2 linked regions of the Schizosaccharomyces pombe genome follow. The gene in region 1 interacts genetically with each later gene. Each region holds a gene or a part of one and is shown in the gene's direction. Other genes may lie near its edges.

What was found. Genes that interact genetically often act in the same process or in processes that back each other up.
Region 2: mutations in gpt1 (region 1) and alg6 impair growth when combined (synthetic growth defect), as found in Schizosaccharomyces pombe (2 studies listed by BioGRID).

What each region holds. Positions count from the first base shown.
Region 1 is NC_003423.3:702,239-713,627, forward strand, and holds gpt1 (UDP-glucose--glycoprotein glucosyltransferase Gpt1), read left to right. Parts: upstream 1-5,275; 5' UTR 5,276-5,349; coding exon 5,350-9,696; 3' UTR 9,697-10,188; downstream 10,189-11,389. Other genes in the region: cop1 (coatomer alpha subunit protein), read left to right, coding at 1-3,275; SPOM_SPBPJ4664.05 (uncharacterized protein), read left to right, coding at 3,694-3,839, 3,903-4,428; 19S proteasome regulatory subunit Rpn3, read left to right, coding at 10,274-10,292, 10,339-10,434, 10,479-11,389.
Region 2 is NC_003423.3:4,194,685-4,203,408, reverse strand, and holds alg6 (glucosyltransferase Alg6), read left to right. Parts: upstream 1-1,538; 5' UTR 1,539-1,706; coding exon 1,707-2,902; intron 2,903-2,950; coding exon 2,951-3,074; intron 3,075-3,132; coding exon 3,133-3,333; 3' UTR 3,334-3,661; downstream 3,662-8,724. Other genes in the region: Rho-type GTPase-activating protein Rga1, read right to left, coding at 3,662-7,114. UniProt on the Schizosaccharomyces pombe protein: Probable dolichyl pyrophosphate Man9GlcNAc2 alpha-1,3-glucosyltransferase that operates in the biosynthetic pathway of dolichol-linked oligosaccharides, the glycan precursors employed in protein asparagine (N)-glycosylation.

The sequences.
Region 1 (11,389 bases):
AGACGATTCGTATTTGGAATTGGCAATCCCGCAACTGTATCGCTATATTAACTGGCCATTCTCACTATGTTATGTGTGCTGCCTTTCATCCTTCTGAGGATCTGATTGTTAGTGCCAGTTTGGATCAAACAGTTCGCGTTTGGGACATTAGCGGTCTTCGCATGAAGAATGCAGCTCCGGTTAGTATGTCGCTTGAAGATCAGCTAGCTCAGGCCCACAACTCGATTTCTAATGACTTATTTGGTAGCACAGATGCTATCGTAAAATTTGTTTTAGAAGGTCATGATCGAGGCGTGAACTGGTGCGCTTTCCATCCAACTCTTCCTTTAATCCTCTCTGCTGGCGATGATCGACTTGTAAAATTATGGCGTATGACTGCTTCTAAAGCTTGGGAGGTTGATACGTGTCGTGGCCATTTTAATAATGTTTCTTGCTGCTTGTTCCACCCACATCAAGAGCTCATATTGTCAGCCAGTGAAGACAAAACTATTCGTGTTTGGGATTTGAATAGAAGAACCGCCGTTCAAACTTTCCGTCGCGATAACGACCGTTTTTGGTTTATTACTGTTCATCCCAAATTGAATTTATTTGCAGCTGCTCATGATAGTGGTGTTATGGTTTTCAAGCTGGAACGTGAGCGCCCTGCACATGCGCTTAATATCAATACTCTTCTTTATGTCAATAAGGAGAAGTCAATTGTTTCTTATGATCTTTTACGCGCACAAAGTACTACTGTCGCTTCTGTTAAGCACTTGGGAAGCGCATGGCTACCTCCTCGTTCTTTGTCTTACAACCCCGCTGAGAAAGTTGCTCTTCTTACTTCTTCTGCTGATAATGGCGTTTATGAACTTGTTAATGTATCATCACGGTCTAATTCCTTGCCTTTGAAGGATAACATTAAGGGTCCCGGAGATGATGCGATTTTTGTAGCACGTAATCGTTTTGCTGTCTTTTCTCGAAGCGACCAAACCATCGAGATTAAGGATCTTTCGAATAAAGTTACAAAGACCATTCAGCTTCCTGAGAAAACAAGAGACATTTTCTTTGCTGGAATGGGTCATGTGCTCTTATCTACCGCTACCCAAGTTCATTTGTTTGATCTTCAACAAAAGAAAATTGTTTCATCTTTTAATGCCAACCGCGTAAAGTATGTTGTATGGTCAAATGATAATTCGCAGGCTGCTCTATTAGGAAAGCATTACGTGTACATTGTGAAGAAAAACTTGGAATTAATTACCTCTATTCATGAAACCATTCGCATTAAAAGTGCTGTTTGGGTAGAGAATAACGTTTTACTTTATGCTACTTTAGACCATCTTAAATATGCATTAATGTCTGGTGATACAGGTGTCATAAAAACTCTGGAATCTACTTTGTATTTGGTCAAAGCAAAAGGAAATATGGTTTTTGCTCTCAATCGTGCTGCTGAACCCGTTAGTTTTGAAATAGATCCCACTGAATATTTGTTCAAATTAGCCTTGTTAAGAAAGGATTACGAACAAGTTCTTCATTTAATTCAAAATTCTAACCTCGTTGGTCAGGCTATTATAGCTTATCTTCAGAAGAAGGGTTATCCTGAAATCGCTTTACAATTCGTTGAGGATCCATCCACCCGATTTGAATTGGCATTAGAGTGCGGAAACTTGGAAACTGCTTTAGAGCTTGCCCGTACGATTGACCGACCTGAGGTTTGGTCTCGTTTAGCTTCCGACGCTATGTCTTATGGCAACCACAAAATTGCAGAAATTACCTTTCAGAAACTCCGTTATTTTGAAAAACTTTCTTTCCTTTATTTGATTACTGGCAATGCTGAGAAGCTTCAAAAAATGGCAATAATTGCCGAAAAAAGGAATGATACCCTAAGTCTGTTTCAAAACAGTCTCTATTTAAATGAAGTGGAATCTCGTATAAATATCTTAGAGCAGGCTGGAATGTATCCTATCGCTTATCTTACCGCAAAATCTAACGGTCTTGAAGAGAAAGCCCAGCAAATACTATCACATTGCAATAAGACTGAAGAGGAAATTAAATTGCCATCTCTCGGTTCAGCATTCACGACTCCTGTACCCGTTAACGAAACATACACCCATAATTGGCCTTTGCTCGACACCTCTCATTCTACCTTCGAAAAATCACTACAAGAGAGGATGGAGCAACTTGCAATTGAAAGACAAGAGGAACAAGAATCTGAAGAAGAGTATGAAGAAGTTGAGCAAAGTCTTATGGATGTTGTTGATGAAATGAGTGATTTGGCAGAAAGCGTTCCAGAGGAGGAAGTTGATGGATGGGAGGTCGAAGATTTGGCTCCTGAAGAAGCTGTTAACGATGTAGTTGATGACGCATCTGCATTTGTCGGTGCGGACGAAATTTTCTTGTGGAAAAGGAATTCCCCATTGGCAGCCGATCATATTGCTGCCGGTGATTTTGAAAGTGCTATGAAGATTTTAAACAAGCAAGTTGGAGCCATCAACTTTTCTCCTTTGAAAACTCGATTTTTAGAAATATACACTGCCTCCCGCGTATATTTACCTACTATAAGCGGCTTAGATCCTTTAGTTTCTTATGTTCGTAGAAACGCTGAGACTGCGGAACGTTCACAAGCCTTGCCATTCATTACCAGGAATCTTGCATCTATTAAATCGCACGAACTTCACGAAGCGTACCGTTTGGTGAAAGCTAATAAGATTCTGGAGGCACAAATTTGCTTCCGTAGTATCATTTACTTGGCCTTAACTACCGTAGCAAATTCGGAGGAAGAAGCAGATGAAATTTCTGCTTTAATAGATGAATGCTGTAGATATATAGTGGCATTATCGTGCGAGTTGGAGCGTCGACGTTTGGGAGAAGAGGATACAAAGCGTGCACTCGAGCTTTCTTATTACTTTGCTTCTGCGGACTTGCAACCTATGCACTCCATCATCGCCCTACGGTTGGCAATTAATGCTTCACATAAGCTGAAAAATTACAAATCCGCATCGTTTTTGGGAAATAAGCTATTGCAACTTGCTGAAAGTGGTCCTGCAGCTGAAGCAGCCAACCGCGCCATTACCTTAGGTGACCGAAACCCTCATGATGCCTTTGAAATCGAATATGATCCACACGTTGAAATGCGTATTTGTCCCAAGACTTTAACTCCTGTATATTCTGGAGATGATTTTGATGTTTGTTCCGTTTGCGGTGCCGTATATCATAAAGGCTATGTCAATGAAGTTTGTACGGTATGTGATGTCGGTGGTATCGGTCAAAAAGGTACTGGTAGAAGATTCTTTGCATAAGCATCTTTGAATTCAAACATGTCTAGTATAAAAGAAGCTACCACATTTTAGCATAGCTTTTTTCACAATGATCTCTCAAACAAATACCTACTTGCATACAGCACATTCTTGACCGTTGAAATTAGACGTTGTAAAACGGGGTCTGTCTTCACTTAACAATCACTATTTACGAAAATATTGCTATCCTTCTTTTTCTCTTTTTTTTACATTTTGCTGTATATTGATGCTAAATTAGATAGTTTCGTATCTAGACGATTTAATTCTTTGTAAGTTAAAACCATTATAAATTGTATTTCTTGTTTTATCATGTATGGGGATATTTGACCATTGGTGTGTCACTTGGTAGAAACGGACCTAAATCACACAACTTACCACTACCAAAACCGTAAGAAGCGTAGCGTTAAAATACCCAATTGATATGTCTTCGGCTATATCTCGTTCACGATTTAATTCTTTTATTTTGCATACAGTTGCGACAGCGAATTTGATATGGGCGTTTAACTGGATTAACCACAATAGCGATGTTGCTATTAGAAGGTCCTATGGTTCTCATTTTCAGCATTTGTAAGCGCATACGTCTGGCCTGATACCTTACTTAATATTACTGAATATTAACACTTTATGTAGAACTGTTTTGTCACTGGCCGTTACATTGTTGAGTATGGTAGTAGGATTATTTTCTGATATTTCTGGTTCCTTGACACTTGTAAAGCTAAAAAATATCCTTCTTTATATTGTTTGTCCACTGGAAACTATTGTTTCAATTTTGTATTGGTCTATAGTTTCTTATGATAGGTCTCTTTTAATCCCTAAAGATCGCCCTGTGCCTCTTCCTCTGAATTTTGATATTAGCGTACATTTAATGCCTACCGTTTATACACTTATCGATTACCTTTTTTTCTCACCGCCTTTTAGTTTGTCTATTGGTCCTTCTCTTCTTGTCTATCTGTCAATCGCAGTAAGTTACATGTTGTGGGTTGAGAAATGCTATCAAATGAACAAATTTTACGCTTATCCCATTCTTGCTATTTTGGATCCTATAAAGAAGACAATCTTTTATACTGTTGCGAGCATCATCTCGTTTTCTTGTTACATTGTTTTAAAGATGGTTCATCCGTACGCATTACCTTCTGGTGCACCTCCAAGATCCTAAATTAAGCAACATGGAAAGCAGTTATCGTAGGAAAGGAACAAAACTTCTTTGCTCTCTGAATTTACAAGGTCTTGCATTGACTGTTGTTTTTGATCGCCCCCATCTTTTGATATTCAGAGTGTGGACATCTGATGTCTGCTCCAACAGACGCGAAATTCATTTTCTTGGAATTTGGTCTTTTTTGATTTGAATTATTTAATAGTTTATTGCTCCATGAATGCAATATTGCACGTTTTCAGTTAAAAAGAGGTGTGCAACACTAACACGAACAAGTTGCTTTTCATTTTTATGACAAAATGACTACAGGGACTTTTTTTTCCCCATTTATTATTGATTATGTGCTAATCAATTATTTCATTATCACAACTATGGGTTACAATTAGAAACCTGTTGTAATAACAATAATTGTCTCACTGAAGTAATATAAGCTAATGATTATAAAATTTATCAATTGCATATACATTAAATAATTTAATTCATGGAACCAATTCATCTATGGTGATTATTTATCTGGTTTGCTGGATTGAAATGATTATTTTTAGCATTCTGGAATTTAGATCTTGTAAAACCTGTGTCAAGAATTTTTATTTTAACAAAATTCGTAATCAGTAATATGGAAAAGTCTTCCTACTTTCGAAGTTTGGATTTTTGTATAGCGCCTGACCAGTTACGAATACTTGCAAATTATTCCTTGGTAATTAATTAGTCATAGAACAAAATAGGAAGCCGAAGTAAGATTATAAATTAGATACAGCTTTAAATAGCTAATTATTATACCACTTGTTTACTGTTCTATCGATCAAGTAACTGTTCACGTAAATAGTCGCGTTAGTCCTCTCAACTACTTAGTTACTCCGCCAACTTCTTTTGTCGTCAAAAAAATAGCTAAACATTCCAAAAGCAAAAAGAGATAAGTATAAGATGAGATGGGGCTTTTGGTTTGCTATTGCAACTCTCATTACGATTTGCTATGCCGCCAAGCCTTTAGATGTCAAGATTGCTGCGACTTTTAACGCTCCTTCATTTTCTGCACTTATAGCTGAGTCATTGTATCAAGAGAAGAAGGAGGGATTCATTTGGTATTTAAATCACTTGAGCGATTTACTAGATGCTGAAAATACCACCGAAAAGGAGCTGTACATTAATGTTGTCAATTCACTTAAACGCGAGTATGTTCTTTCTGATGAAGAATTATCTTCCTTGCAGTTTTCTCTGGGATTGTTTTCTGGCGCACCAAAGTTACAAGCATTTTCAAGTATTGTTCAATCGCGCAGCTGTGATTGTGACACTTGGCTACAACTTGACGAAGAATCACAGGTTTGCTTTTCGGATTTGCCAAAGGACTCCCCATTGTTTAGCAAGCTGTACAGCAAAAATCCTCTAGATTACGAAGTTGTAAAAACCTCGGCTACTGGCATTCCGTACGCAGTGGTTGTAACTAGCTTCGAACGAGATCTTATTCCTTTTCACGAACTATATTACAAGCTGGCATTGGAAGGAAAGTGCAATTATGTTATAAGATATTCTCCTCCTTCTTCCTCGAAACTTAACTCCAAACTTTACGTTAAGGGCTTTGGTACCCATGTGTCATTGAAGCGCACAGATTACTTAGTTGTAGATGATCGCGAGTTTCCAAGGGAAAAGGGAGATAACCCAGCAAGTTTTACATCATCCCGCAACAAAAGATCAAATGAGAGACTATTTGGAATGACCTCCGACAGCCTACAAACTGTAACGCCTGATAAAATTGCAATACTTGATTTATTAGCTACACAAAGTATTGCTAGCAGTACTGACATGTTGACTGCTTTTCGAGAGCTTACACAAGATTTTCCTATTTATGCGCATTACCTTTCTATACAACCGGATGTTTCTAATGATTTAATCGAGGAACTGAACCAATTTCAATCGCAATATGTTCCTGAAGGCATTAATACGATTTGGTTGAATGGTTTATCTCTTGATTTAGAGGAAACGGATGCTTTTTCTATTCTCTCTTTAATTAAGAAAGAAAAAGATATGTTTGATAGATTTGAAGCTCTAGGGATTAAATCTTCGAAGGTCTTAGATATAGTCACTAATGAGGCTTTTGCTAACGAGGACTCAGATTTCAAGTTTGTTAAGTTTCATTGTCAAGACGATATAGAGGACTGGAAAGCCATACATTGGGTGAACGAAATAGAAAGCAACCCTAAGTATGACAATTGGCCCAAGAGTATACAAATTTTATTAAAACCTATCTATCCAGGACAGCTTCATATGCTCGGAAAACAACTGCATACTGTCATTTATCCTATTTTTCCTTCTTCTCCTTCATCGTTACCTCTTCTTTCCGAGCTTATTCAGTTTTCACGGCGCCCTTCGCCCGTTCAGACTGGTATGGTATGTGCTGCTAACGATGACGATGAATTTGCTCAAACTGTTTGCAAATCCTTTTTCTACATTTCGAAGGAGAGCGGAACTGACAGCGCTCTCAAATTTTTATATAAATGTTTGAACAGCGATTCTAGTGCTGATTTGTACTCCTTGCTTGAAGAGCATCTTCCATTAAGCGAGCATGATGATGATACTCTAGCTAATCTTAAAAAAGATCTTTCCTCATCTTTTTTTGACCACTATATGTCTAAGAGCAATAGCTGGGTTAATCGTTTAGGAATAGATTCTTCTGCATCAGAGGTCATAGTCAACGGCCGAATTATTTCTCATGATGAAAATTACGATAGGAGTATGTATGGGATATTTTTAGAAGATATCCCTGAAGTTCAAATTGCAGTTGCAGAAGGGAAGATTTCTGAAGATGATAATCTGTTAGATTTTATTTTGCGAGATGCTTCGTTAACGCGGAATCCTTTAGTTTACCCTTCCGCAAAATCTAGTATCAAGAGTATTGATATTAAACGGGTTTTGGAGAACGTTGGTAGTTTGAACCACGAAGATATTTTACTTATCGGCAGTTCTAATGCTAAATATTCATTCTGGCTAGTTGCTGATTTTAATGAAAAGGAAGGGCTTGAAATACTTTCATTACTTGCCGACCTTCTTTCGGAGAATAAAGATGCAAATCTTATGTTGATTCAGGAAGGAAAAAATCATGTTGTACCCCCTCTGTTTGCTAAACTGTTATCATCACCAAAGAGATCTAGTAAGCATTTACAAGAAATATTAAATTCCAGCCTCGATCCCAGTTCTGGCGTCGTTAACGATATGGATAAAGCATTGAAATTTCTAAAAAAATCGAAAGCCGTTGTTAAAGAGTTGGGTCTTACCGGTGAATGTAAATCTGCTTTGTTATTAAACGGACGGATGATTTGTTCTTTCTCAGTTGATAGTTTGAACACCGCTGACTTAAAAATGTTAATGCAAATGGAATACGATAATTATCTGTCAAAACTGTCAAACATTGCTGGAAGCTCAAGAAGGTTAAAAAACAGCCGTGCTATTTCATTCCTTAGCTCATATTTAAAAACGCTTGAATCTACACCCATGAGTACTTCTTCACCTACTAAGGAAGAAAAATTATTTCCTCGTGATTTTATCTACAATAAACTTGGTGTTGGAAATGCTACATTTGAAACTGACGATTTTTCAAAAGCTTATTATCAGTTTGTTGCAGTTTTAGATCCTCTTTCAAAAGATTCTCAAAAATGGTCAGCTATTCTTGAAGCAGTCTCAAAGTTGAACGGCGTAGGAGTTCGAATTCATTTCAATCCTAAACAAACTTTGTCTGAGCTTCCATTAACAAGGTTTTATCGATATTCAATTTCTGCGGAGCCAGAGTTTGATGCGCTTGGCCATTTAGAGGAGTCTTACGTAGAATTTGACAACTTACCGGCTGATACACTGCTTACAATGGACATTGAAGCTAGAGACGCATGGACAGTTATGCAAAAAGATGTGGACATTGATCTTTTCAACATAAAATTAGAGCACACTTCTGAAGCAGAGGCTTTGGACTCACATACAGCAATCTATGAACTTAAAAACATTTTGGTACAAGGTTACTCTCAAGAAGAATTCAGGAAAAGCCCACCGAGGGGTATGCAATTAAAGCTAGGCAACCTTACTAATTCCCATGTGACTGATACAATTGTATTATCAAATTTAGGATATTTTCAATTGAAGGCGAACCCAGGCGTATGGACTTTGGAACCTATGGATGGGCGGTCTTCTCAGTTTTATGAAATACTGTCGCTAAATAAGAAAAATTCCTATAAAGACCCTCAAGTAATTGTTGACAGTTTTGAAGGTGTCACCTTAAATCCGGTTATGCGACGTAAACCTGGTTTTGAGTCTGCCGACATTATGGATGAAGACCTTAGCTCCCATAAATTTTTCGATAAAATAAAAAAGTCTCTCAGCTTCTTTAATTTCAAACGTAAAGAAGCATCTATAAATATTTTTTCTGTTGCCAGCGGACACTTGTATGAAAGATTCTTATACATCATGACTAAGAGTGTAATTGAGCATACGGATAAAAAAGTCAAGTTCTGGTTTATTGAGAACTTTTTGTCCCCTTCTTTTAAAAGCTCTATTCCGGCCATTGCCAAAAAGTATAATTTCGAGTATGAGTATATTACTTACAATTGGCCACACTGGCTGAGAAAACAAGAAGAAAAGCAACGTGAGATATGGGGATACAAAATATTGTTCCTTGATGTTTTATTCCCTTTAGAATTGCATAAGGTTATCTATGTTGATGCCGATCAAATTGTGCGTGCTGACTTGCAGGAATTGATGGATATGGATTTACATGGTGCTCCATATGGGTATACACCCATGTGTGATTCTCGCGAAGAGATGGAAGGTTTTAGATTCTGGAAAAAAGGATACTGGAAAAAATTCTTACGTGGATTAAAATATCACATTAGTGCATTATATGTTGTAGACTTAGATCGTTTCAGGAAGATGGGTGCGGGTGATTTACTTCGCAGACAATACCAACTTTTGTCTGCCGATCCTAACTCCCTGTCTAATTTAGATCAAGATTTGCCAAATCACCTTCAACACCTTATTCCTATATACTCTCTTCCGCAAGATTGGCTTTGGTGTGAGACATGGTGCAGTGATGAAAGTTTGAAAACTGCCAAAACAATCGATTTATGTCAAAATCCTTTAACTAAAGAAAAGAAGCTGGATCGCGCACGTAGGCAAGTCTCTGAATGGACTTCATACGATAATGAGATAGCATCCGTATTGCAAACCGCCTCTAGTCAATCAGATAAAGAGTTTGAAGAAAAGGATAACAACTCATCTCCGGACGAACTTTGAAACATACTTTTCTTTTGCTTTCATATTATTTAATTCGTGATTGTACGCCTGAAATTTTATAATCGTTTTTCTAATTTACTTGCGAATTTGCATAAGTTAGAAGAGAAAAGAGTTAAAATCAAAATGTTTTAATGAATTGCTTGAATACTGAGAGTATTGGCTTTAGGGATTAAAAGGGGTCAAAATTAGTATATGTCGTCCGTTTGAAATGAGCTAGTCATGAGTTAATTTTTTCCTCCAATCTTGTTAGGACCATTTTGCTGGTGCATTCTACAAGTTGTATACAACGATTATGGTGCTAAGAAACAACTAATCGTGAGCAATGCTACGTTTATTGAATGTTTGTTGAAGACGCGTATTTTCATTTATTTAACTATTCGATACTATCTTCTACTTTGTTCAAACATTATTCGTCTATTATGCTGTAATAAATATTGCATTCAAAAGTCTTTACTAAATAGAACATTTAATATATTCGTGTTTATAATCATAGGGAGGAAGTATACAGCACAGTGAGTCGTAAGCTTAGGCATATGCCCTCCACTGAACGTAACCACTACCAAGTACCAGTATCAATATGATTGATGATCAGAGAGGTTTGTTATTGATGGGAAAGTTTTTGTATTTATTAACGTTAAAAAGATATGCAGGTTGATTCTGTAAACCAAGAAGAAAATGTTGATTCTGGTGAAACAAAACAGAACACTGTAACTGAAGTTCCAAGAACAGTTTTGCAAGGTGAGTTAATGCGTCAAAATTTATTTATTTCTAACAAGGATCAGATGTGGAAGCAAATATTGCTGCCTTAATGCAAGCCACCAAACAAAGAGATCCCAGACTTGTCTATCGATCATTAAGAACCACATCCAACATTTGCCATAGACTGAATGCGGATGTTTTAGGCCAGTTAATTAAGAAGTATTATTCTTTTGATAATTCTTTAAAAAATGAATTATTGGAACTTATTGATATGCCACAAAATGGTGATGATTCTTCCACTTCTATTACAAATGGAAATGGCAACACAATTTTTCCGGAAGTGGATATGTACTTACAACTGCTTCTTAGCATGACACTTTATTATAATGAAAAATATGAGGTAGGCGCTGAATATATTAAGAAGGTAATCGCCCGTTTGCAATCCTATGATCGACGAACCTTGGATCAAATTGCAGCCAAGTTATATTTCTATTACATACTATTCTTTGAAAAATGTAATAGGTCTGTAGAATGCAGGAACACTCTTTTGTCCGTTCATCGTACTGCATCTTTACGTCACGACTCTGAAACTCAAGCTATGGTTTTGACATTACTTCTTCGGAATTATATTCAGTTTAACCTATATGATCAAGCAGACCGTCTCGTTTCGAAAACATCCTTTCTTACGAATGCTAGTAATAACTTGGCAATTCGCTACCAATACTATTTGGGTCGAATTCGCGCCATTCAACTTGACTACACGACCGCTCATGAACATTTAGTTAGTGCTATACGTAAGGCTCCCAACACAGTATATGCCGTTCAATTTCTGGAAGCTGTTTACAAATTGCACATCGTCGTACAATTGCTTATGGGAGAAATTCCCGAACGCCGCATTTTCCGCCAAAAATCTCTCGAAAAAACTTTAGTGCCTTACTTACGTATTAGCCAGGCAGTTCGTATTGGTGACCTTTGTGCTTTCACTGACGCGCTT
Region 2 (8,724 bases), 3.5 Mb from region 1:
AATAAAACTTCCCTCCAAAAAATGTATAAGTATTGCAATAACAGCAAACGCGATGAAAAATGAGAGGGTACGGTTAAGTTTTTAATAAAGCTGTTATTATCTTTCAATTCATGTGATAAGCTCCTATCATTGCGTTAATCTGCATAACAGCGGAGTAGGGAACTAATCTTAAAAATCGTTAAGTTAATAAAAGTAGTTTCAGTATTAAATTAAAATTTAAAACATTTTGTTTACGGTTTGAAAATTAAAACAGGAATTCACACTTTTGCGCTTTTGAGATATTTTTAATTTTTTTTAAAAAAATAGAGAACGCAAAATGCTTTCCGAATCTTTGTTTTTTTCCTTTAAATGAATAGTTGTTTATCGGTTCTAAGCTCTTGCCTAGTAAGGCTTTTTTGCTTTCACTTTAATACTCAAGGGAGGATGATTCTTTATTGCTATAAAAGTTTAGATTTTAAAAACAGCATCAACCACTGTAGTGTACAAATGAATTTCATTTGCCCGCCAAGCAGTTAGTATGTTTTTATTCATTCAATCTGGTATCTCTTCTCAAACGAATGTACTTTTGGGTATTTTAATTAAATTTAATCTAATTAGGTTTTAAATTTTCATAAAATATATAAATAACTATTTGTGAGTCCTTGAAAATATTTCATTTAGCTTAAGCATAAATATTGAAATTATTCTGAAGAGTAAACAATATACAAACAATGCGAGAATGCAAATAATGTTAGTAACTATACAACTTCAGTTTCTATTTCAAATCGTTTTACAAAAAATTAAACTAAACATATGATTAGTAAATATCGCTTAAAATTATACAAATAATGGAGATTTCACAGTGTTCCATCAACGCAAAAAGAAAATATTAGGATAATGCTTGCTTTTACTTAAAACTGTAACAGACCAAGAAATAATTTTACAATATTATTATGAATTCTGGTTTTAAAAGCATGATTTTTCGTCAAACCGTCGCTTTTTTTTTTAGCCCAACAAGGGTTTTCTTTAGAAATTATCATGAACGAAAAGACTTTTAAAATTTCAAAGCTCTTAATTGCAGCTACAAATTCGAGATCAATTACATAGTAAATGTATTAAGGGAATTATTTTTCTTAGCATGTTCTTTGCTAATAAGATTTTCGTTAGAGCTAAATTATTAAACAGCAAACAATTAAGTAATATATTTCAGTTCATTGAATTTAATGGGCTAGTATCACTGAAACAAACTCCTAACTTGCCAAGCTCAATTTATTCTAACATTTACCTATCTTAAGAGAAAAGTAAATCAGTCAATAAGTGATACAGCTTAATTTTCATGTTTATCAACTCATTTTTTATGTTATTGCTCACCCTTGGATCAATTATGTAGTGATAACTTTGCGCGTATTTAATTTTTAGGCTTTGAAACTGAAAATAAAAAATAAGAAAGAAAGAATGAATTAAAAAGTGAATTGATTTTTTTGGACATTATAAAACCATATTTCACGATGATCGCAATGGTGGACCCATAGTCCACTTCGTGGTTCCCAACCCATTTCACTGTTATCCCAACTTGTATCTGCTTTGAATTAGCTTTTCCTTGTTTAAAACATTCCGGATACAAATTCACTCGTTTTTTAATCTTTAAGCTTTCCAAGTTGGATATTTTAATTTAGAAACCCAAAGTTTTAAAGCGAAATCCTTACCGTTTGACGGCCGCTTAAAACATGCTATCTGAGTTTGAGAATGGGGCTCCCGTTCAACAATTCGTTTCTCGTTTTCGATCCTATTCATCTAAATTTTTATTTTTTCCATGCCTTATAATGAGTTTAGTTTTCATGCAATGGCTTATATCTATCGGTCCTTATTCTGGGTATAATACACCTCCTATGTATGGCGATTTTGAAGCGCAAAGACATTGGATGGAACTAACATTGCATACTCCTGTGTCTCAATGGTATTTTAGAGATTTGCAATGGTGGGGATTAGATTATCCTCCTTTAACAGCATATGTTTCTTGGTTCTTTGGTATAATTGGGCATTATTTTTTCAACCCCGAATGGTTTGCTGATGTCACATCTCGTGGATTTGAAAGTCTTGAATTAAAATTATTCATGAGATCTACTGTTATTGCATCTCATCTTCTAATACTCGTTCCCCCTTTAATGTTTTACTCCAAATGGTGGTCGCGCCGTATACCTAATTTTGTGGACAGAAATGCTAGCCTAATTATGGTCCTTTTTCAACCTGCTTTACTCTTAATTGATCATGGTCATTTTCAGTACAACTGTGTTATGCTGGGTTTAGTTATGTATGCAATCGCTAATTTGCTTAAAAACCAATATGTAGCTGCTACGTTTTTTTTCTGTTTAGCTCTTACGTTTAAACAGATGGCTCTATATTTTGCTCCTCCTATTTTTTTTTACTTATTGGGAACTTGTGTAAAGCCAAAGATTCGTTTCTCAAGATTTATCTTGTTGTCAGTCACAGTTGTTTTTACGTTTTCCTTAATATTATTTCCATGGATTTACATGGACTATAAAACATTGCTTCCTCAAATTCTTCATCGAGTGTTCCCGTTTGCTCGTGGTCTTTGGGAAGATAAAGTTGCTAATTTCTGGTGCACCCTCAACACTGTTTTCAAAATTAGAGAGGTGTTTACTTTACATCAACTCCAAGTAATTAGCTTGATTTTTACTCTCATTTCTATTCTCCCATCTTGTGTTATATTATTTCTTTATCCTCGTAAACGTCTTTTAGCTCTGGGTTTCGCAAGTGCATCATGGGGGTTTTTTTTGTTCTCTTTCCAAGTTCATGAAAAGTCGGTTCTTCTTCCTTTACTTCCCACTTCTATTCTCTTATGTCACGGAAACATTACAACCAAACCATGGATTGCTCTAGCAAACAATCTTGCTGTTTTCAGGTAAAATATACATATTTACTGTTTAAATTATACTAATATTTTTATTAGCTTATGGCCGTTACTGAAAAAAGATGGTCTTGGTTTACAATACTTCACATTAGTATTAATGTGGAATTGGATTGGTGACATGGTAGTTTTCTCAAAAAACGTCCTTTTTCGGTTCATCCAACTGGTAAGACTATTTTTATTATTTGCTATTTTTTTATGCCAGGTGTATTAACTGGATGCAGTCTTTTTATGTTGGTATGATTGTTATTTTGGGAATTGATCTGTTTATCCCACCACCATCCCGTTACCCCGATTTATGGGTCATTCTTAATGTTACGCTTTCATTTGCCGGATTTTTTACTATTTACTTATGGACTCTTGGTCGCTTGCTACACATTTCAAGTAAACTTTCTACTGATTTGCGTAACAAAAAAGAAGCATAAATTGAACAAAATGATTTTATGTTACATTATTACGCGGAAAAATCAACATATAGTAAAGGATTTTATTAAAACAATTCTGGGAGAAGGATTGTTATTCATGACTTCAAATATTAAACGAAAGTTATATTTGCCTGAAATATTATTTTAGCCAAGTAACCTTTTATTAAAAGAACGATTATTAAAGTACCATCATCCCATCGAATTCAACACGACAAAGTTGTAAGCGGTACCAGACCGAGCTTTCTACTTTCGTAGCTGATCTAATGTTCAGTAAAAATTGAAAATATGATAAAACAAAAAAAGACAAATGGGATTGTGTATCGATAAATTAGGAATCCCTAATGACTGCATGCTGAGGTTTAACTTGAGGTTTAGGCTGAGCATCGCTGTTAGGTGAAGCTTCATCTTTAGTGGTAGATGAAAGCGAATTTGTGTCAGCAACTTCAGAACCAGAAGGCACGTCTGACGTTAAATTAGTTGTAACTCTTCTTATAGGTTGCCTTTTCCTCTTTGTAGACGCCGTATGTTTTGGAGTATTCCGTTCGTCAAGACTCATCTGAGAAATTATTTCTTCACACCTTTTATATAGTTCTTTAGATGTCCAAGCCGCATTATTATAAAAAAGAGTAGGATCATCTAATAAAAGACTAATTTCTCGAGGGACTTCACAAAATTTCTCAAAGTTCTCAATCAACAGATGAACAGCCTCGATGGCAAGGAAACTTTCGTCAACAGGATCGTTGCTTTTGGAATATAATATGTTCGGAGTAATTACGGTAGCAAGATTATGAATATCCATTTTGCTTCCCACCTCATCATCGATGTGGGAAAAAGAGGCAACCCAATATAGAAAGCCAAAAATTACCTCCATAGTGTCTCTATGTCCCTTGGGTAGTAAACATATTGTAAGATGCAAAACCCTCATGCGTTCTTCCTCAGACTCCAACTTTGAAGACGTAATGAACAACCCAAATAACTTGAAAGTTAAAAGAGGATCAGGAAGCTCTCTAAGGAATTTTTTCAATAAAGCAGCCAACTGAATGGGTGTTTCTTGCTCATAATCAATTGAATCCGGAGAAACATCGAGCATGTCAGATAGCTCTTTTAACCTACGTATATTTCCGTTCTTTCTAAATACACCAACTACTGACATATCTTTTCTTTTCATAGCAGCCAATGTATTCCCAATAAAGGCAGGAATATGCTTGACACCCACGCCTGTTCCAACCGTCGACTGAGCGTTATTACGCTCAACAAGAATCTCCAATGGCACCCCAAAGGTACCTTTCTTTTTCACGTTCTTTTTTTCGGCATCTTTCCCCTTGAAAGCCTTTCCAAATTTTTCCCAGAAACCACCTTTGCGCAAATCGCTCATTTCCATCAATTCATCAAGTGAATAATAATCCCGTACAAGAGGGTGCAATATTAATACAGCTACGTGCTTGGTAAATAATAATTCTAAATTAGAAAGATCTGAGAGATAACGAATAGGAGCATCTTCTGATTTAGGAGTCAAACCCTTTTGCGTACCATCATTTTTATCATAAATCGCCCCAGAATTCTTTCGATAGGAAGGATCAGTATAACTGGGCATATGCCTAAATGCATTTGGTCGGTGTTCCCTGTTTCTTTGTTCTGAAATGACTTTAGGAATATCATCAAGAGTAAAAGCACGATTTTCATCAAAGGCATCCATCCTTCTTTCCAAAGGACTAGATGCTTGCTCAACTATGCTTTTTCCAGTAATAGAACCACCATGAGAATGCCAATGGGGACTTTTGTCTTTTCCAGACTCTGACACATTCTTTGATAATTTAGATGTTTCGGTAGAATTGCTTGAGGACTGGGTTTCATTTGAGGTGGCCTTACGATTGCGGGAAGACTTAAGATGTCGCAAATCATTAAGAGTATTGGCATACTTACGAAAACTGTCTGAACTGGCAGTAGTCTCGGCTTGTTTCGCTGTTTCAACAGTACTGGATACATTCTCTTGTTTTGGATCAACAGATAACGGCTTTCGCTGTGATGAGTCGTTATTCTCCATAAGTATAGTATATAATCGAACCAAGGCAATACGTAGCAAGTAAATATATTGAGAAAGCCTGCTCACATACTCAAAAGACGGATGAGGTTCGTCGTTACTAACGTTGGATGATTCAGTATAACATAAATAACATTCTATTTGTTTCGTTTGGTTGTTCCAGCGCGCCCAATCGTAATTCTCCCGATTGTTGTATTTACATTTAGTACATGACAAACAGCCAATATGGCAGCGAATTTCACCCAGGAGAACACAGTCTTCCTCCAAGGCAGAATGACACACATAGCATAAATCGGAGCTGGCATTGGCCAAATTTAAAGGCATATCAAACGAAGAACTATCATATCCTTCTTGATCGACAAATCGAGCTTCTTCTACGGTCTGTAAAAACTGGGGAAGAGCATGCTTACAAGCATGATCTTGTTCTAGTCGTAAACCTCCCGTAAGCGATATCCGAATAAGTAACTTGAGGTAATGAGCTAAACCGGTAAAGAGTGATAAAAAGTCTTGAACAATAGCAACGTCGCGAATATCCGAATTATGGCATTTAGCAAGTAAAGCAAATATTGAAACTAGCTTCTTGCAAAGCAACTTAGCTTCACGAACATAAGGCATACTTTTAGCATGAAAACTTGAAAGTATAGTTTCTAGCGAATCAATGCCTTTAAAAAGTATCTCGATATAACGAATAAATTTTTGGGCACAAATAACACTTTTTGTGAATTCTCCATTTGAAACAAGGAGAAGCATATCACTGATACACGAAGCTGTATACTCCTCAAAATAAGAGAGTGCATGCCAAATATGAAATATTTTCTGTTCTAAATGTTTTTCCCGTTTGCGTAATTGTGATTGAGAAAGCTCAGAATCCTTCTTTTTAGAAGTTTCTATGGATGTCTTTTGACAAAGTTTAACATTCCAAAACTTGTAGATCATATGACAAGGAACGTGCCAATTTTGAGATACCCCATTTCTGTAAACTTCAACAAATTGCCTTAAAATTGGACCATCACAACCGCAACATCGTGCAGCGAAAAGTGTTGAATAATGATAATGACAATACACTTTGCCCTCATATTCATAGTAAGAATCATTCGGACCAAAAACAGTGTAACATAAGGAACAAGTGAAATGTTCTATATGAAATTTTTTATTCAAAGCTGTAATATAATAACCTCGAAGGGCCATTCCACAACTTGCACAAAGTAAGTCAAGCCGCCGAAAATAATCTGTTTCACATAAAGGCACTTGCTTGTTAAGAGTGGGATCATCAATAGGAAAAAATTTTGAAGCAACTAAAGAATTACAATCATGGCATCGAAAACATTCTAAGTGATATATATTTCCAAGAGCACGTACATATTGTCCGGATATAACTTGTCCACATGAAGCACATATCTTTGATGAAGAAACTTTCCTTACAGCCTTAGGAAATACAGAAGTATCTGATCGCTTTAGACTTTGCTGCTCCTCTTTATTAAGCAAACCAGATTGGGCTAATTGTTGCTGATTAGGCAACGCTTTTCGAGACTCAGCAGAGGTATGCCTCCGAGAAAGTGAGCTGCCACCCTCAGTACCAGCAACAGTGCTTGTATGTCGAGAATGGGGGAAATTCTTCGTTGTAGAATTCTCTTCTATCTTATTTTGACGGGAAGGAACAGGAATTCGTTTCGGTGGTGTTGGTGATACACCATTCGTTGTGTACAGCAACCCATCTTTTTTGGCGTCCCTTTGGGACATACTGTCCTTGCTGTTTGAACGAACCTTAGCTTCTATATTAAACGCCTTTATCACTTAATAAACCAGTATGACTAGTTAATCCTCTTTGGGATATTTCCGTTCGAAAATCACCCCCAAGAAAACCTTATGGGACTCAATTCCTTCAGTTTTTAAAAGAGTGAAATTAATAATATGTAAGACCTCAAATAACTAAGCCTATAGCTTTTGAAGCTATTTTTTTTCAGAGACTAACTATTGTTGCGGTATGTTGGTGGTTGTTGGTCCGACTTCCACCTAAGAGGAGACTGCACACCATGGAATCCAAGTCAGAAATGCTAAACTCCAGCTTGATATAGGGGCCAAAATAGACCCTAATTTTTATAGCGACTAAGACATGAAGTCATTTGGGAAACCGATTTCAGTACACACCCCGAAAATGACTTTAGATCTTCGTTTAGAGAATAATCTGTATTTTTGTTTTATCTCTCTTTAATGCTACACTTTATGCTCCTTTTGGATAGTTATTCTTAGGTGTAGGTTTAGGCACTGAATTTTACAACGACTATTATACTAGAGCTGCTCGCTGCTCATGCTAAGGCTTTTACACATTTACGAAGTCTATGTTATAACAAGAGTCCTTATAGATGTTTGAAATTATCATAGACAATATGAGTGACTTTGATTTTAACTACCTGTTCAAGTTTCCCAAAAAGTATTTAAGTACTTTCCCACTGTGTTTCCCAGACTACGTACGTCTTGCAAGTTCAGTAGGGTTGAATTCAGATAAAATAAATGGAGTTTATAAAAACTCAAATCACTTAATACATTATCTTAAAAATACATGCAGAATTTTTTATTTTTATTTCTGACAGTTGCTTCTATACTGAATTATCATAATATAACGATTATTTTTTTATGAGAAAAAGGAAACCAAAGGCATTCGAGCATTTTTGAGTAGTTTCATAACTGCTTTTTGTTTTGCTTAACTTGCATCATTTTGGCTTCTTCACAGACTGAACGCTAAGGTCCTATGTTGTGCTAATTCAGAGTTTACATCTTCTTTTACGACCCTTAGTTGCACAAACTTCCACACAATTGATTCGAATTCTGAATCCTTATTCGATTTGTTGCTTGAAGCTACTTTCGTCTGTAAAAAGTTGTGTATTATTATACTAACAATGGACCTCAAATCCTTTACAGCTTCAAAACTACTATTCGTCACTGAGTCATGAGCAAATTTCGTTAAAAAACTACGGGTATTTATTATCTCAGAAGAAATAGTTTACGAATTCATGAAGTAGATCAGCTTTATGAGTTACCGCGGTTAATAAGTTAAAGGATTAGCACTTAAGAAAAATCAAAGAGAAAATGAGCATTAATTTATGTAAGAAAATAATCAGAAATGATCAATTGTGATGGTTTGAGCAATAACAAGTGAAGGTTGTAAATTCAGTAAACAAACAATAGATATCTGTTCCAAGAGGTTAATCGAAACGGTTACTTACAAAAGATTTGTGGGTAAAGGCCTTTGATAAATGTATTAAAGTCGAATAATCATCATAAGCATTTATATTTCATGTAATGCAACAGAAAATTTTTTTATCTAAAAAATGAGAAGGAAATAAAGAAAA